2 linked regions of the Tamandua tetradactyla genome follow. The protein of the gene in region 2 purifies or fractionates together with the protein of the main gene of each other region. This does not show direct contact. Links are inferred from orthologs where the notes say so. Each region holds a gene or a part of one and is shown on either strand. Other genes may lie near its edges.

Region 1 (7,605 bases), on a different chromosome or scaffold from region 2:
GCTGGGGGAGCAGGGGTTGTTGGGGGAAAAGGGGTTTTCCAGAGAAGCAAACCTGGTAGAGAAAATGCAAACTAGTCAATTCATGAGGAGTCAATGAAAATATCAAATCATGCAGCCATTTAAAATTTAAGATCAGCATTCCAGGTAATTTTGATTTTAAGTTTATTTTATTATGCCTTATATGATTGCCACCATCTTCAGTCTCTAAAGCCTTTCCTGAAAGTATTGGTTTGTTTGGATTGCGACCCAAGTTCAGGTCAGGAGGACGTCAGCCTCACAGCTCCTTCAGAAATGACACATGAAAATGAGCTTCATCTCAGGGGATGTTTTCTTCTTACTGTTGGTTGATGTTTCATTACTATTTGCGCTAAAAGAATATTGTCAAACATATACCAAATAAAACACATTTTATTCTTCCATGGAACTCATATTTGAAGATTTTAAGTTCACTGAATTCATAAATGCAGCATCTAAGAAAGTGTGCTAGTTCTCTGTGGTCTGCTTTCTTAACTAATAAGTAGCAAATAAAAGAAACACAGACCATGACATCTCACGTGTATGCAATGTGTGGCCCTCGTATGGATCCTGATTTGAACCAGCCGATCATTAAAAAAAGCATGGATGAAACACTTGGGGACAGCTGGGTGCTGACTGCCCACATGAAGATATTAAGGAATTCTTTATTTTTTAATAAGTTTTTTTTGGGGGGTGGGGTGGGGGCTGCATGGTCCAGGAATCGAACCTGGGTCTCCCGCATGGAAGATGGTATTCTGCCACTGAACCACCTGTGCACCCCAAGGAATTATTAATTTTTAAATTTAATAATGGTATTGTGTTAAAAAGGGATACTTGTATTTTAGAGAGACATACTAAGTTATTTATGAATTAAATAGATATGGCAGCTGGGATTTGTGTGCATGTATTGCTGGGGCTGCGGCAAGGAGAGGAGGGATGAGGGGTAAGAATGAAACAAGATGGGCTGTGTGTTGATAACACAGAAGCTGAGTGATAGAAGGAGCAGGATTCACCGTATTATACCCTCAACTTTTGTACATGTTTAAACATTTCCATAAAATTAAATGTCATTTGATTATGCAAAACCAAAGAGGCTTTAAGCTTCTCAACCCAGTGATCAAACTTAGCATCCCTAAAAGTGAGACATCCAGACATTATGTGCCTGCTGATGCCACGGAATGAAAAGTGGGTAGCATCACCTATAACATACTCTCGTCAAAAACTTTCAGCTTGAATCTAATCAACACTTTAGATCTCACTTTAAGTTTATAGGAACAGGAAAGAAGAAAAAAAGGTAAGGTAAACATTACTGACCGTGAGTAAATAATCAGGCAAATCCAGAATGTCAGATATTAAAATAGCCAATGTCATGAACAAATACTAATTCTAATACTAATGCTAATACTAATCCCAATGCTAATCCTAATGAAGATGTGTCATTTAGAGAGACTGACCCCTGGCAGTCTGCTAATGCCAATGTACTCTTTCTTAGAAATCTGTTTTTAAATGCAGAAAGAAAAAAAGCCCACATAGGTGTATAGAAGGTAAAATATTACATTGAAGTACAGTTATCAAAATATTTTTAGAATGCGATATGCTGGTGTTTATGCCTCAATATTAATGAATTAAATGACAACATCTAGTGGCATGCCTAATAATTCCAGTAATTTCAAAGTAGTGATGAATGTAAATATATTTTAAATATCTGCAAGAACTTTAACATGATATAAAAATATCTGCAATTTCTACTGGCGACAAAGTCCAGGGTGCTGCTAATGCTAATGTAGTTGTTACCTTCATTTTTAATGAAGGGAAATGCTATATTTCAACTAGAGTCAATAAAGAAGTAAATTTTTTCCTATTCAACCTTTGAATTTTCCTACTCACCTTTTGAATTGCATTCATAGACTCCGGTTAAGAATCTTTGGCCTAGTTGTAAAAAGATGTAGGGGATTTAACAACCAAATGTCATTTAATGGATCCTGTTTTGAAAAAACAAATATGAAAATATTTTAGGGATAATAGTGGAAATTTTAGTATGGAGTACTGTATGATTTTAGGGCATTACTGTTAATTGTTTTGTATGTAATAATGGCACTGCGGCATGTACAAGAATGCCTTTATATTTCGGAAATGCATACTGAAGAAGTCAGGCTTCAAGAAATCATGATGTGTACACACACGCACACACATAGATGGGAAGATGTTCACAATTGTTGAATTTAGATGGCATATATTATTATTCCATTTTCCTGTTTGAATTTTTCATAGTTAAAAGAAAAAAGTGATTTAAGATGCTTTTATTGAGGAATAATGCAGATATGGTGATATGAATTAATTGTAAATGTATGGCTTGATGAATTTTTACCTAAGGAAGCATTCATATAACTATACCAGATCAAGTTATAAAATATTTCCAGCACCTCAAAAGTTCCCTGTCCCCCTTTCCCAGTTAAACTCCCCTTCCATTTCAGTTAACCACTTCTCTGATTCTGATCACCATTGAGAAAGTGTCTGGTTTTTTTTGCACAATGTTGTAGTTTGCTGGCTGCCAGAATGCAATATACCAGAAACGGAATGGCTTTTAAAAGGAGAATTTAATAAGTTGCAAGTTTACAGTTCTAAGGCCGAGAAAATTAAGCTTCTGAATTAAGCAAGTCTATTGAAATGTCCAATCTAAGGCATCCAGGGAAAGATAACTTTGGTTCAAGGAGGCTGATGAAGTTCACAGTTTCTCTCTCAAGTGAGAAGGCACGTGGTGAACACAGTCAGAGTTTCTCTCTCGGCTGGAAGGGCACGTGGTGAACACAGAGTCATCTGCTAGCTTCTTCTCCTGGCTTCCTGTTTCATAAAGCTCCCCGGGAGGCATTTTCCTTCTTCGTCTCCAAAGGTCGCTGGCTGGTGGACTCTGCTTCTCGTGGCTATGTCGTCCTGCTCTATTGTCTTTGAATCACTTCATTCTCCAAAATGTTTCCTCTTTCATAGGACTCCAGAAATTTATCAAGACCCACTCAAATAGATGGAGACATGTCGTCACCTAACCCAGCTTAACAACCACTCTTGATTAAATCACAGCTCCAAGGAGACAATCTGATTACAGTTTCAAACACATAGTATTCAGTAGGGATTAGAAGAAACAGCTGCCTTTACAAAATGGGATTAGGATTAAAACTTCGCTTTTCTAGGGGATGCACATCCTTTCAAACCAGCACATGCAACATGACTTACCGACATAGTAAAACAAACTTCTAGAGATCGATAATACCATGTTTGGCAAGGATGTGGGAAAATAAGCCCTTTCTCAAATTACTGGTTGAAATGTAAATTGGTGAAGCCTATCATAGGGCAGTTTAAAATGCCCACACTCTGACTTAGATATTCTATATGCAGGGAACCTAAAAAAAAAAAAAAAAGAAAAAGAAAAGAAATGTGCATAAAGATGGAGGCTCAAACATATAGGTCTCTAATAGTGAAAAGATGGAATTAGCCTAATTGTCCAGCTACACAAGCGAGATTAATTCTGGTATATTTATAATATGTCATGAACTATTAAAAATGTGACTTAGATGGGTATGTGACTGGAATGATCACTAGGCCATATCATTAAGTTAAAAAAGAAGACACAGAACACATGAACAGCCCATTCATGGTAAGAAAAAAAAAACATAGGAAAGGGCTGAAAAAGATATACATACCAAGCAGTACAAAGGCAAATGGGGGAAATCAAAGGAGTTCCTTGAGTTTTGCCCTGCATGCTGAACTTCTGAGTTGCTGCATCAGATACAACCCACACACTCAAGTATTGCTTGTGTCACTAAAACGTAAAGGTAAAAACTATTTTAACTTTAATGTAAATAATAGACAAAATGCTAGGATAAAGAAACGGCACGGATACATAGGCGACTTTTGTTCCCAGGGGAACTAGAACAGAAATGACAAGGAGACTTTCCACTATCTCTGTTTTTATAATATTTAATTAAAACAAGATTTTTAAGGATTACGTATTCAAAAATTTGAAAAATGCATATGGAGTAGTTTTGTGGGGGGAGGGAGTCACAGAGGCCCTGGCCCCTTTCTTCGTGTGGTTAATAGCACAGTTGTGCCAAAGGAGTTGTAGAGACAAGATGATCCGTAATCAGCTGGAATAAAGAGCTCGGGTTACTTGTGGGTTTCTGTGATAGAACAAAGGTCGTGTAGGAGAGGGGGCTTGGAGGAGAAACAGGAGTCAGACAGACGGAGAGGGGCTTGGAGAAGCCACGGAGACCAGGGTGGACGGAGGAGCGTGGGAGGGCGGGTGGGGGCTGCAGACGCGTGCAAAGCCCAGGCGGAGGGATTAATCCTCGGGTTCACGTTGGTTGAGCTTTCAGCCCGTTAAGACACCACGCTAAGCCTTTAACACGAAGTCCTCACAGTACACCCCAGGAAGGGGCTACCAGCCCCATTTGGCAGCAGAGCAAACCGAGGACTTTGCGGTCAGGGTGGCGGGACGAGGACCTGGGAAGGCCGTTCGCGGCGACCGTGCGCGCATCCACGAGACCAGCTCAGCCCGCGACAAAAGCCTCCGGCCGGCGTCGCTGCCGTCTGTGCACACCACCGGTGCCTTCCCACGGGCGGTCCTCTGCCCTCCAGCGGCCGAGCTCCACCCCCAGACCGCGTCCCGCTTCGACCGCAGCTCCACCCTCCCGGCCGCAGGGCCGAGGCCGGAGAAGGAGGGTCGGCGCAGGAGACAACCGACCACCAAGCAGTTTGGGAGGGAGTTGGCCGCCGCACGAAGCTTCCGGTCGGGGACCCTATCTCCCACCGCCTTCCGGCCAGACTGCAGCCCCCAAAGCTTTCCTACGCACCCCCGACTGGGGACCTGCCACGGAAAGCGGGCTCACCGGCAGCCCTGACCCCTCCCCCGCCCCGCGGCGTCCCCATTTTGGAACTACCGTTCCCGGCGTGCCCCGGGGCGGCGCGGACGGAAGGGCGCCTGCGCGGCGGGCAACCGACGGCTGGAACTGAGGCTGCGCGGGTCGCGGGGCTGTGACGTCTGCGGGCGCTGGCAAATCGGGCGCGGGATGTAGAGTTGGCAGAGCCTGACGGCGCGGCTGACGCTGAGTTGGGTGGGGTAGAGAGTAGGGGGCGGTAGTCGGGGGTGGTGGGAGAAGGAGGAGGCGGCGGCGAATCACTTATAAATGGCGCCGAAGCAGGACCCGAAGCCTAAATTCCAGGAGGGTGAGTCCGGACGCGGGAGAGAGGCACTCAGCGGCGCAGGCGGGGGAGGCGGGCTCGGGGTGGGTGAGGTCTGGGGGCCGGGGGCGGCGTGGGCTGCGCCCCGAGAGGGCGGCGGGTGGCGCTTTGTGGGGACAGCGCATTGCGGAGGGGAGTCTCACTGCGTCATGGGGAGAAAACGCCGTGGGAAGCGGCAGCGCTAGGCAGGCGGTGAGAACTGCAGAGGGAGCGTCTTGCGCGTGGCGGACCTCGGCCGAGTGTTTGTTATTGTTCTGAAGAAGGGGGCGCGGAGAACGCAGCCTATTGTAGGGAGGCGACTGGGACGCCATGGCGGCGGGTAGGGGAAGTGATGTGGCGCGGGGGGAGGGGAGGCAGCGGCGGCTGTTTCGGGCGCCGGGGCGGGGTCGCCCGGCCTCGCCGACGGCCGGCTTCTAGCGGTCGAGGGCCGCCTGCAGCTCCCGGGTGGCCGCGTGCGGTGTAGACGCCCGGGTGCGCCGCGGGGGTGGGTGAGCGCCCCAGGGCGGGAGAACTGCGTTGTAAAATGGCCGCCGCAAGATGGCGGCCCCGCCGGGGCTGCCGGCGTCGCGGCCTCGGGCGGCAGACGTAGCTTCGGGGCGGATGCAGCGCCCCCCTCGTCGCGACCGCGCGTTTACCTCCGAAAGGCGGGTGGGACGAAAAAGACAGCCGGGAGCGGTGCCGCCGGCCTCGGGCTGCCTGAAGGCCTCTGGTCTTGCGCTCCGAGAGCGGAGCGCCGAGGTTTCCGTGAGGAGTGCGCGCTTCCTGCTGTGCGGCTCCTCGTGAAAAGGAAAGAAAAAAGCAGTGGCTCGTGTCTCCATTTCGAAGTCCTGTTGCCCGGATGTTAGGCTAACTGCAATTAGAATATGACGAAGAGTGATTTGAGAGCTCAATTGGCTTTTATTAGTTGCCTCTGGGTCAGATGTTTCGGCTGGCGTTAGCAGTGGGTGCTCGTGGAAGATGGGGCCTCCACGCGCGAGGAGGAAGTAAATCCTCTAGCCGAAAGGAACGCTTTCACGCCGGCCAGTTTTCATAAATGCGGATGTCCATACGCCCTGTATAAAACTTTTGTTTCAGGAATGTTCTCACATCGGTATGCGTTCGAATTACTTTTGGAGTCATGTAGCCAAAATCCAAGGGTATTATGTTTTTATGGAGTATTTAAGGGGTTTCCAAAGGTATTCTGGATAATGGTTCTTTTTAAATTGCTTTTAAAAGACTCTGTGACCGTGCTGTCATTTTTTGTTGTTAAAAAGTGTGGGTTTACAGAAAAATGATGCTTAAGATGCAAGATAACGTTTGTTATCATTGATGAAAGCACATTTTTATAATTGTACTATTGACTGTAGTCCGTGGTTTAACTTAGCCGTCACTGTGTTGTGCAGTTCGTTTTGGTTTTTTTTTAATTTTAGTAACATGTACACCCAGAAAATACTTAATACCTCCTGTGTCCCACTTGGAGAGATTGCGACTTTATCGTACGTCCTGTGGCTTCATTATCTTACTAGGTGCTTTAGACCAGGGATCCTTAATGTAGGGTCATTAGACAGAATTCAAAGGGTCCGGTGAACTTGGACGAAATTCTGTGTTTCAGTTATGATTGTAAGCCAAATAAAAACAGTCCACAGTAATATTAGCAGTACTGTGATTGTCGCCAGCAAAAATCAGTTATTTCCATATCGACATTGTGGTTACTGAATGCTCTTCATTACCTCAAAATGATAGTTATTGCATCAGCAGTTAAATCTTAACTAAGGAGCATGTGTAATACCATAGGAAATTGTACTTCAATGTTTTGACAACTACTATTTCAGTTACAGTTGGTTTTATTTGTATTTCAGAACATTCTAAGAGGAGGCCCATAGGCTTTAACAGGCTGTCAAGGGTCCATGATACAAAAAATTAATCCCTAATATAGGATATCAAAGCAGGAAAATCACTGGCATCTGAAACCATTTTACTCATGGCTTCCTGGAGGAAGTGTTTTATTTAGTTCTGAACTAGAGAGATGTAGAGTGAGGTGGGTAGAAGTAAATGAGAGTCCATGTGCTGCTATCCATAGTGGTTTGAGGAAGCAAGGTAGGGGTAAATTTTTGAAAGGTTTGCAAGAATCTCTTAACATCGTTTTCCGTGTGTGTTTTCTACTTTCGTATGAATACTGAATTCTCTAGCCATCTTTAGTAAATTACAGGTATTTATAAAATACATTCAGAATCTTTTGTAAGGAGGAAAGGAATATTCTGTTAATGCGAGAAGAATCATCTTGAAACACGATAGAAGAGTATATAATGATAGGGATATGAAATAACAAAATGAGGAGATAGCATTTTTTGCTGTTTATGATTCCTTTAAATTTTAAAG
Region 2 (7,754 bases):
TGCTGGAAGGTGGACAGCGAGGCCAGGATGGAGCCGCCGATCCACACGGAGTATTTGCGCTCAGGGGGGGCGATAATCTGGGGAGGGAAGGGAGACCGTCAGCCTGAAGATCCTATCCTGGTGACGCAAAGGGCTGGGGGAGGGGCTGGTGCCCAGGCCCCAGACCCGGAGATGAAGGCTCCCCTTGACCACCAGAGACTCACCTTGATCTTCATCGTACTGGGTGCCAACGCTGTGATCTCCTTCTGCATCCTGTCGGCGATGCCCGGGTACATGGTGGTCCCGCCAGACAGCACCGTGTTGGCGTAAAGGTCCTTGCGGATGTCCACGTCACACTTCATGATGGAGTTAAAGGTAGTTTCGTGGATGCCACAGGATTCCATGCCTGGAGGGAGAGAGACTGGTCTTAGCTTCCCTGCACAGCAAGGCAACCCGGGCTGGGGGGGCGTGGGGGGCCTGGCCTTAAGGGGGAGGATGGCGGGAGCAGGGCTAGGAGGCCACGTGGTCACTCACCCAGGAAGGAGGGCTGGAAGAGGGCCTCGGGACAGCGGAACCGCTCGTTGCCGATGGTGATGACCTGGCCGTCAGGCAGCTCGTAGCTTTTCTCCAAGGAGGACGAGGAGGCGGCGGTGGCCATCTCCTGCTCGAAATCCAGGGCGACGTAGCAGAGCTTCTCCTTGATGTCACGCACAATTTCGCGCTCGGCCGTGGTGGTGAAGCTGTAGCCGCGCTCGGTGAGGATCTTCATGAGGTAGTCGGTCAGGTCCCGGCCGGCCAGGTCCAGACGCAGGATGGCGTGGGGCAGCGCGTAGCCCTCGTAGATGGGCACGGTGTGGGTGACCCCGTCGCCGGAGTCCATGACGATGCCCGTGGTGCGGCCAGAGGCGTACAGGGACAGCACAGCCTGGATGGCCACGTACATGGCAGGGGTGTTGAAGGTCTCGAACATGATCTGGAGGGAGAGGGGTAGTGGGGGGCTCGTCATGTCCAGGAGGGGACAGGGACAGCTGGCCACACTGGGGACATGCAGAAGAGTGCAAGGAACACAGTAAAAGTGTGCTGGGGAGGGGGACACGGGGGCAGGGGCTCAGTCCAGGCCTAAGGTGGTGCAATCAGACACACTCCAAGGCAATTTACACCAGCGTCCTTGGCTGCCACCGAGCCAGTGTTAGTACCTAAATCCACAGCACTTTAGGAACACCTAGTAAAAGGGACAGACACCAGAAAGAGGATTCATCTGGGGAAAAAGCAAACAGAACCTGCAGAGTTCCAAAGGAGACTCAGGTCAGAGAAGAGAGTCCTATGGAGAACGGCAGAGAGAAGAACAAGTTGAGAGGAGGGAAGGCACCGCAGGGAGAGGACCGCGGGCCGCCCGGGAGAGGCGGGGAGCACTGACCTGGGTCATCTTCTCACGGTTGGCCTTGGGATTAAGGGGGGCCTCGGTCAGCAGCACCGGGTGCTCCTCCGGGGCGACGCGCAGCTCGTTGTAGAAGGTGTGATGCCAGATCTTCTCCATGTCGTCCCAGTTGGTGACGATGCCGTGCTCGATCGGGTACTTCAGCGTCAGGATGCCTCTCTTGCTCTGGGCCTCGTCGCCCACGTAGGAGTCCTTCTGGCCCATGCCCACCATCACGCCCTACGGAACAAGGGACGGGGTCAGCCCCTGTGCGGGCAGCCCAGACCCCCCCCTGCCCCCGGGACCTCACCCAGCTCAAAGCGGGCCTGGCCGCCCTACCTGGTGCCGGGGGCGCCCCACGATGGAAGGGAAGACGGCCCGGGGCGCATCGTCGCCCGCGAAGCCGGCCTTGCACATGCCGGAACCGTTGTCGACCACGAGCGCAGCGATGTCATCATCCATGGTGAGCTGCGGGTCGGGGGGGCGAGGCCGTGAGCGGGGGAGGGGCCGCCCGCCCGCCCACTTCCGGCCGCCAGAGGGCGCCGGCGCGCGCCCGGCCTCGGGACAAAGGAAGCCCGGCCGGCCGCGCTATTTCCATAAAAGGCAAGTGCGGGTCGCGGCGGCGGCGCCGCGCGGCAGGAAGCCAGGCCCCGCCCCCGCCCGGCGGCCCCGCCCCCGCCCCGCTCAGTTGGGGCTCAGCGGCCACACCCTCGGCGGGGGCGCGGGGCGGCGCGCGCAGGCGCCCTGGAGGCCCGCCGACCCCACCCCTTCCGGGAGGGCCGGCCCCGCCCTCGCCCTGCGCCCCGGCCTGGGCCGTGCACCCCGGCCCTGCCCGCGCCCTTGTCCGGCCGGCGATAGACGGGGGTGCTATGGTGGGGGCAGTGGGGAGCGGGGAGCACGCACTTACGCACGCGCGGTAGCGTCCCAACCCCCACCCCGGCCTCGCTGCGCCCACCCTGGGGACAGGGGACAGCCACCTGCCCGCTTGGACAAAGACCCGGCCGGTCACCGCGGCCTCCCCCCACCCCAGGACTCCTCCAAGCCGCTCGCTACGGGCTCATGGTCTCGGATCCAGAGCTGGGGAGGGAGGTGGAATCCCGCCTGTCGCGGGGTTTGGGGGCGGCTCTCCACGGGCGACGTGGGGCCGCGGCTGGAGACCAAGTGGACGCTGCCACGGGGCGCTGCCTCCAGGGCATGGAGGCGCGGGGACCCTGCCTGGGCGTCGGCCATCAGCGCCCGTGGACCCTCCCTCCGCGCGGGCCATCCGTGCGCGGGGGACCCTGCCTGGGCGCCGGCCATCAGCACGCGGGGACCCTGCCTGGGCGCCGGCCATCAGCACGCGGGGGGACCCTGCCTGGGCGCCGGCCATCAGCACGCGGGGACCCTGCCTGGGCGCCGGCCATCAGCACGCGGGGAACCTGCCTCTGTGCCCGGCCATCAGCGCGCGGGGACCCTGCCTCGGTGCCCGGCCATCAGCGCGCGGGGACCCTGCCTCGGTGCCTGGCCAGAGCGACTTACCTTGGAGGTGGCGAATGTAAACCGGCGGTGGTGGCGGCTGAGCGGCGAGAGGCCTGTACTCGCGGGGTGGACGCGGTGTCGGCGGTGGCTGCGCGTCGCGCCGCCGGGTTTTATAGGGCACTGCCGTGGCCGCTCGAGCCATAAAAGGCAACTTTCGGAACGGCGCGCGCTGATTGGCCCCGCGCCGCTCACTCACCGGCCTCGCCGCACAGTGCAGCATTTTTTTACCCCCTCTCCCCTCCTTTAAAAAAAAAAAAAGGAGCGAGCGAAAGAGCGTGAGCGAGATTGAGGAAGGGAGGGCGGAGGAGGGAGAGAGTTTTGGCGTTAGCCGCCCTTGGGTGCCGGGCCCATGGGCCAGGGGTGCAGGCCTGGGGTCGTCCCCCGGATGGGCAGTGTCCACGCCGGCCCTGCGGGCCAGGCCTGGTTTCAGGCTGCTGGTGTCGCCGCGACCCCCACCCGTGACCCTGTGGGTGTGGATGTCACATGAGCACAGCAGGCCTCGGTGGGCAAGGGGTCAGCATGGAAGCAAGGGCGCTGGTTGCCGCAGGCACGTGCTGAAGTTGCAGCGGCATTGAGGGGGACACAGGCAGGGGACGGTCACAGTCACTCCCCCTTGCCAACATTAGCTCAACTGCCCAGGAGGCCTGGCCTGGGGGTACTCTGGAGGTGTTTGCTGGGCTGGCTGTGGGCTGGGGCCCTTCTCAGACACCTGGGGCTGAGCTTCCCTGGCGGAAAGGCTGCAAGCCTCCCCTGCTGCAGGGAAACTGTTTCCAAGGAGCCAGGCTGCCTCTGACGCCCGCCTGGTCACACCCAGCCTAAGCCGTTAGCTGTTGGGTGGGGTTGGCAGGGCTGACTCTGCCCCCCTTCGAGGCTGGGCCCCTCCATCCATCTTCCGTCATGGACAGCCACAGCTGAGCTGCTTCCCTGGACCATCTGGAGGCCGGGAAGGACTCTGGGGAGGAACGCAATGTGCCAGAGGGGAGTTGGGGGGAGGGCAGTGGTGGGAACCCAAAGCCAGCTGGTCTCAGAGAAGACCCTCTTCTCAACCTTTCTTGCCCTGGGTCTGTGCACCCCACATTGGGCAAGACCCATGTCTCTGGGAATGTTCGGTGGGGGGCGGGGGGCGTCCAAAATGGACAGCCCAGTCCTCTGTCCTAGGGTTCCCAGGTGGGGACACATGAAGATCAGTGTGTGTCAGACAAGCCTGGCGCCCGGGGACTCAGCCTGGAGGACCAGGGGTGGGCTTAACTCGGGGTGACAAGAGGCCACAGGCATTCTTCGTCCCTCTGTCACTGGCCATCTCTGGGCACCCGATGGCGGTGAGAAAGCGGGAGGACCGTCGGCCCTGTGGGGATGGAGAGCCTGCGGCTGGAGAAGAGGTGGCTTGCTCCAGCTCGTTGGATGGGCCTGGGGGCAGGGTAGCACCACAGAGGCCATCCCCAGGTGGGAAGAGAGACCCCCACGCAGCTACAGCAGAGGCCACACGGTCCAAGTCACATGCCAGCCTTCCCAGAGACCTGCCAAGAAGCTGCGGCCACTCCCCCATCCTCGCGTGGGCCTGGGTAAACTTTCCCAGCCTGTCCACTCGCTGCCTCCCGGAGGCTGGCAGCTCTGGCCCTGGCCTTCTTTCTCGATCACGGGCATCTCGCCAGCCACCTCACGACCTGCCAGCCCTGTAATTCACCAGGCCAGGGGGCACCCCTTTGCGCTGCCTGTCGATGAGCCTGGTGGGGTACTGAGTTCGGGGCTACAGGCATAGGGTGGGAGGTTCTTGGGGTGGCTCTGGGCACCGAGTGGGAAACACTGGTCCCTGAGCAGGACCTGGGCTGCCCGCTGGCCTATGGTACCCACTGTCTGCAGCAGCCACTTCCTGGTGATCTCCTATGCATCCTTCAAGGCCCATACCAGAAGGCCCCTTCTTAGAGAGGACTTTAGCATCATTATCCTCCACTTTCCTCCCCACATAAGACAGCTACCCTGGACTAGTATTGGTAATTTGGCTTTTGAGGGTATGTCACTCCCACTTTCCTGCCTTGCTCACGCCCCCCATAACCCCCTCAGGGCCCTGCTCTGTTGAATGAAGAAATGATTGGCTGGGTGTCCTCAGTCCAGACTCTGGGGAGATGAGGGGCCAGAGGGGCTGGGCAGCAAGCCTGGGGCAGGGTGGGATGGGGCCTGGCCAGTAAATGGGCCTGAGCAGAGCAAGAAAGCAGGGGAAGGGGAAAGGGGAAGTGCAGCCTGCTGGGGGAGGGGGAGGAGGGGAGGGAGAGGAAGTGAACAGGTTATTCTTCACTCGGGAACTTTGCCTTTGCGGGGTGGGGTGCGGGGGTGGGGGTGGGGGTTCTGCCGAGACTTGGGGCCGGTTGGGTCCACCATGAACCTGGGGCCCAGCACTGGGTCCCAGGTCTCTTGGTTCCTTCACCCTGCCAGGCCCCAGGCTAGGGTGTCCGTAGCCTTTTGGAGCCAGATTCCCCCACACCCCATGCCCTCTCCTGCCAAACAGCCACCAGCCACCAAGCCCTGGGCCTGCCGGGTAGGCAGCCCAAGCTCCTTTTTTTTCAGAGGGAGGGTCTGGGATAGGGCTGAGCAGGAGAAGAGGCCCCCCTTTTAGACCATGGGCCACAGGAAGGCAGGGACCCCGCAACCAGAGGGCTCTCAGTGAGGGGTAATTGAATGAAGGGGTGAGGCAAAGGGGCTAAGATATTCCAGCAAGCACACCCCCTTTTTACAGATGGGGAAACTGAAGCAGGACTGGTAAAGCACCCAGGGCTTAGGCTCCTGTGTGAAGGGTGCTGAGCTGGGCTCGGGGTCCCCAAAAGCAGTGGCCTCACCTCCTGCCTTATACTGCCCCTCCCTGAGTAAAGCCTGGAATGTCCCAAGGGAATGGGTCCAAAGGTGCTTCCAAACTCTAAATTCCTGGGCCCTGCCTCACTCCTCAGCACTTGTCTCCTGAGGCTCAGAGAGAACAACCACCAGCCTGCAGTCACACAGCAATCCATCCTGAGGGCCTAAGCTTCCTCTCTCCTCTGCCTCTTGCATCCCCACTTTCCCTGTTTGCAGTATGATCTTAAGAAGAAACCTCGGCTCCTTTGAGCAAGTGGACCTCAGGAGTCTTGAGGTCCTGGGAGGGCCTATGCTTGGGGTCCCTCACCTCCTGCCAGACTTCTCAGTCTTCAGGGAGGGGTCAGCTCTTGGACTGCCACCTCCAGGAAGCCTGCCGTGACCTCCTCCTTCCTCTACCATGACTGAGAAGTAGAGACCCAGCCAGAGCTTCTTAAAGGGTAGTTCAGGAAGGCCTCCCTGAGGAGGTGACCAGCCAGCTAGGGGAGGTTGGAGAACAGCCTGGTCAAAGGCCCAGGGGCAGAGAGATGGGCTGTGCCCTGGGCAGCACCCTGGCTGGCTCCCCAGACCTGGCAGCCTCTGCCCCACCACCCAGATTCCCCCACCCCCTAAGGGGTTATCTGGGGGGTGGGAGCTGTCCTGGAGAAACTGGGAACTTCTAGACACTTCATGGGGGAGTTTTTAAAAATCCTTAAAAACTACCCTCTCACTTCCACTCCCCCAGGGCACTCAGAAAAACCTGCCCAGCCTTCCAGGGGGGTTCCCAGACTTGCTTGAATGATTAAAAAAAAAAGAAACAAAAAGCTTCCCTGGGCTTCCCCTCCACAGGCTCACCAGCTATGCCCTTTTATCCCATGAAGGTCCTTGGGCTGACTGTGCCCATTCTCTGGATGAGAAGCCTAGACCCCCCCAGAGAGACCCAGGGGGCTGCAAGGAAGGGGCCCCTTGGGGGCGGGGTGGGGCTGTCCAGGTGAGCTGGGGTGGATGCTCCTGTCCCCTCTCTCGTGTGCACAGCGACCTGCTCACAGCCACCCAGAGGTCACGGCAGCCTCTGGGGCAGAGGATGGGGGGCCAACAGCCACGGCAGGTTCTGGGGACTCCTGGCCCTGCCACCTGGGCTGTGAACCGAGCAGGTGTGACACGTGGCTCCCAGGTGGCCTGGGGCGGTCACTGTATGGAGGGGGACCCCTGAAGTGCCATTTGGGCCCACGAGGGCTGGTGGATGTCAGGGGTTCAACCTCCTCCTGGCTGGGTGGCCTTTTCCCCCCACTTTCCTGCCCAGCCCGGGGGGGGGCTCGGAAATTCCCACAGGTGTTGGGCCACTAGAGGTCCGGGGTGGGGGTGGGGGCACCCCTCCTGAAGAGCCTGAGGAAGTGAAAGGGGAAGGGGGGAAGGAGGTGTTGGGAAAGGACGGGCGGGGTGGCCGCTGACTCACGGAGGCCACTGGCTCCCCCATCTCCCAGCCCAGCCTCCCCTTCCTGGTCTCCCCCCATGTCCGTGAGAGGAGAAGGGAAAGCATAGTGTCTGGGGCCAACCGTGGGCCGGGCCTAGGTCCAGAGCTAAGTGGGAATCTCCCCATTTCTCAGAAGGGCAACCGAGTCCCCGTGAAAGTGAGAGACCTGGCCCTGCAGTTAACAGCCCAGTCTGGCTATTGCTAGACCTTACTGGAATTTGCTGGAACCTGGAATCCAGAACCGGGTGCAAGGCCAAGGTCCATGGAGAGCCTCGAAGGGCCCCACAGAGTCCTTCAGCCTCTGCAGTCACTGCTCTTGGCCCCATACTTCAGATGGGCAAACTGAGGCTCAGAGTGGCCAGGGACTTGGCTGAGTGGTGGCAAAACCTGCACCCAGCCACCCTGGGCCTGGCAGTGGGAATCACGCTGGGCCCCTCGTGCAGGCCTCCTCAGCTGGCACCGGCTGCTTCGGTGTGGGGCGTGGTATCTGTCCTAGTGGGAATCCGATCGGCTGTACCACATAATCAGGCTCTCCTCGGCCAGAGG

Evidence for each region. The genes of interacting proteins can lie anywhere in the genome.
Region 1: the proteins of ACTB (region 2) and MORF4L1 purify together in Homo sapiens (affinity purification with mass spectrometry; 3 studies listed by BioGRID, with this or other methods). This does not show direct contact. The link is inferred for Tamandua tetradactyla from reciprocal best matches to the Homo sapiens genes ACTB and MORF4L1.

The regions. Positions count from the first base shown.
Region 1 is NC_135340.1:94,397,755-94,405,359, reverse strand, and holds the start of MORF4L1 (mortality factor 4-like protein 1), read left to right. Parts: upstream 1-4,594; 5' UTR 4,595-5,192; coding exon 5,193-5,232; intron 5,233-7,605. UniProt on the Homo sapiens protein: Component of the NuA4 histone acetyltransferase (HAT) complex which is involved in transcriptional activation of select genes principally by acetylation of nucleosomal histones H4 and H2A.
Region 2 is NC_135349.1:4,685,504-4,693,257, forward strand, and holds the start of ACTB (actin, cytoplasmic 1), read right to left. Parts: upstream 3,014-7,754; 5' UTR 2,915-3,013; intron 1,865-2,914; 5' UTR 1,859-1,864; coding exon 1,736-1,858; intron 1,637-1,735; coding exon 1,397-1,636; intron 953-1,396; coding exon 514-952; intron 386-513; coding exon 204-385; intron 78-203; coding exon 1-77. UniProt on the Homo sapiens protein: Actin is a highly conserved protein that polymerizes to produce filaments that form cross-linked networks in the cytoplasm of cells.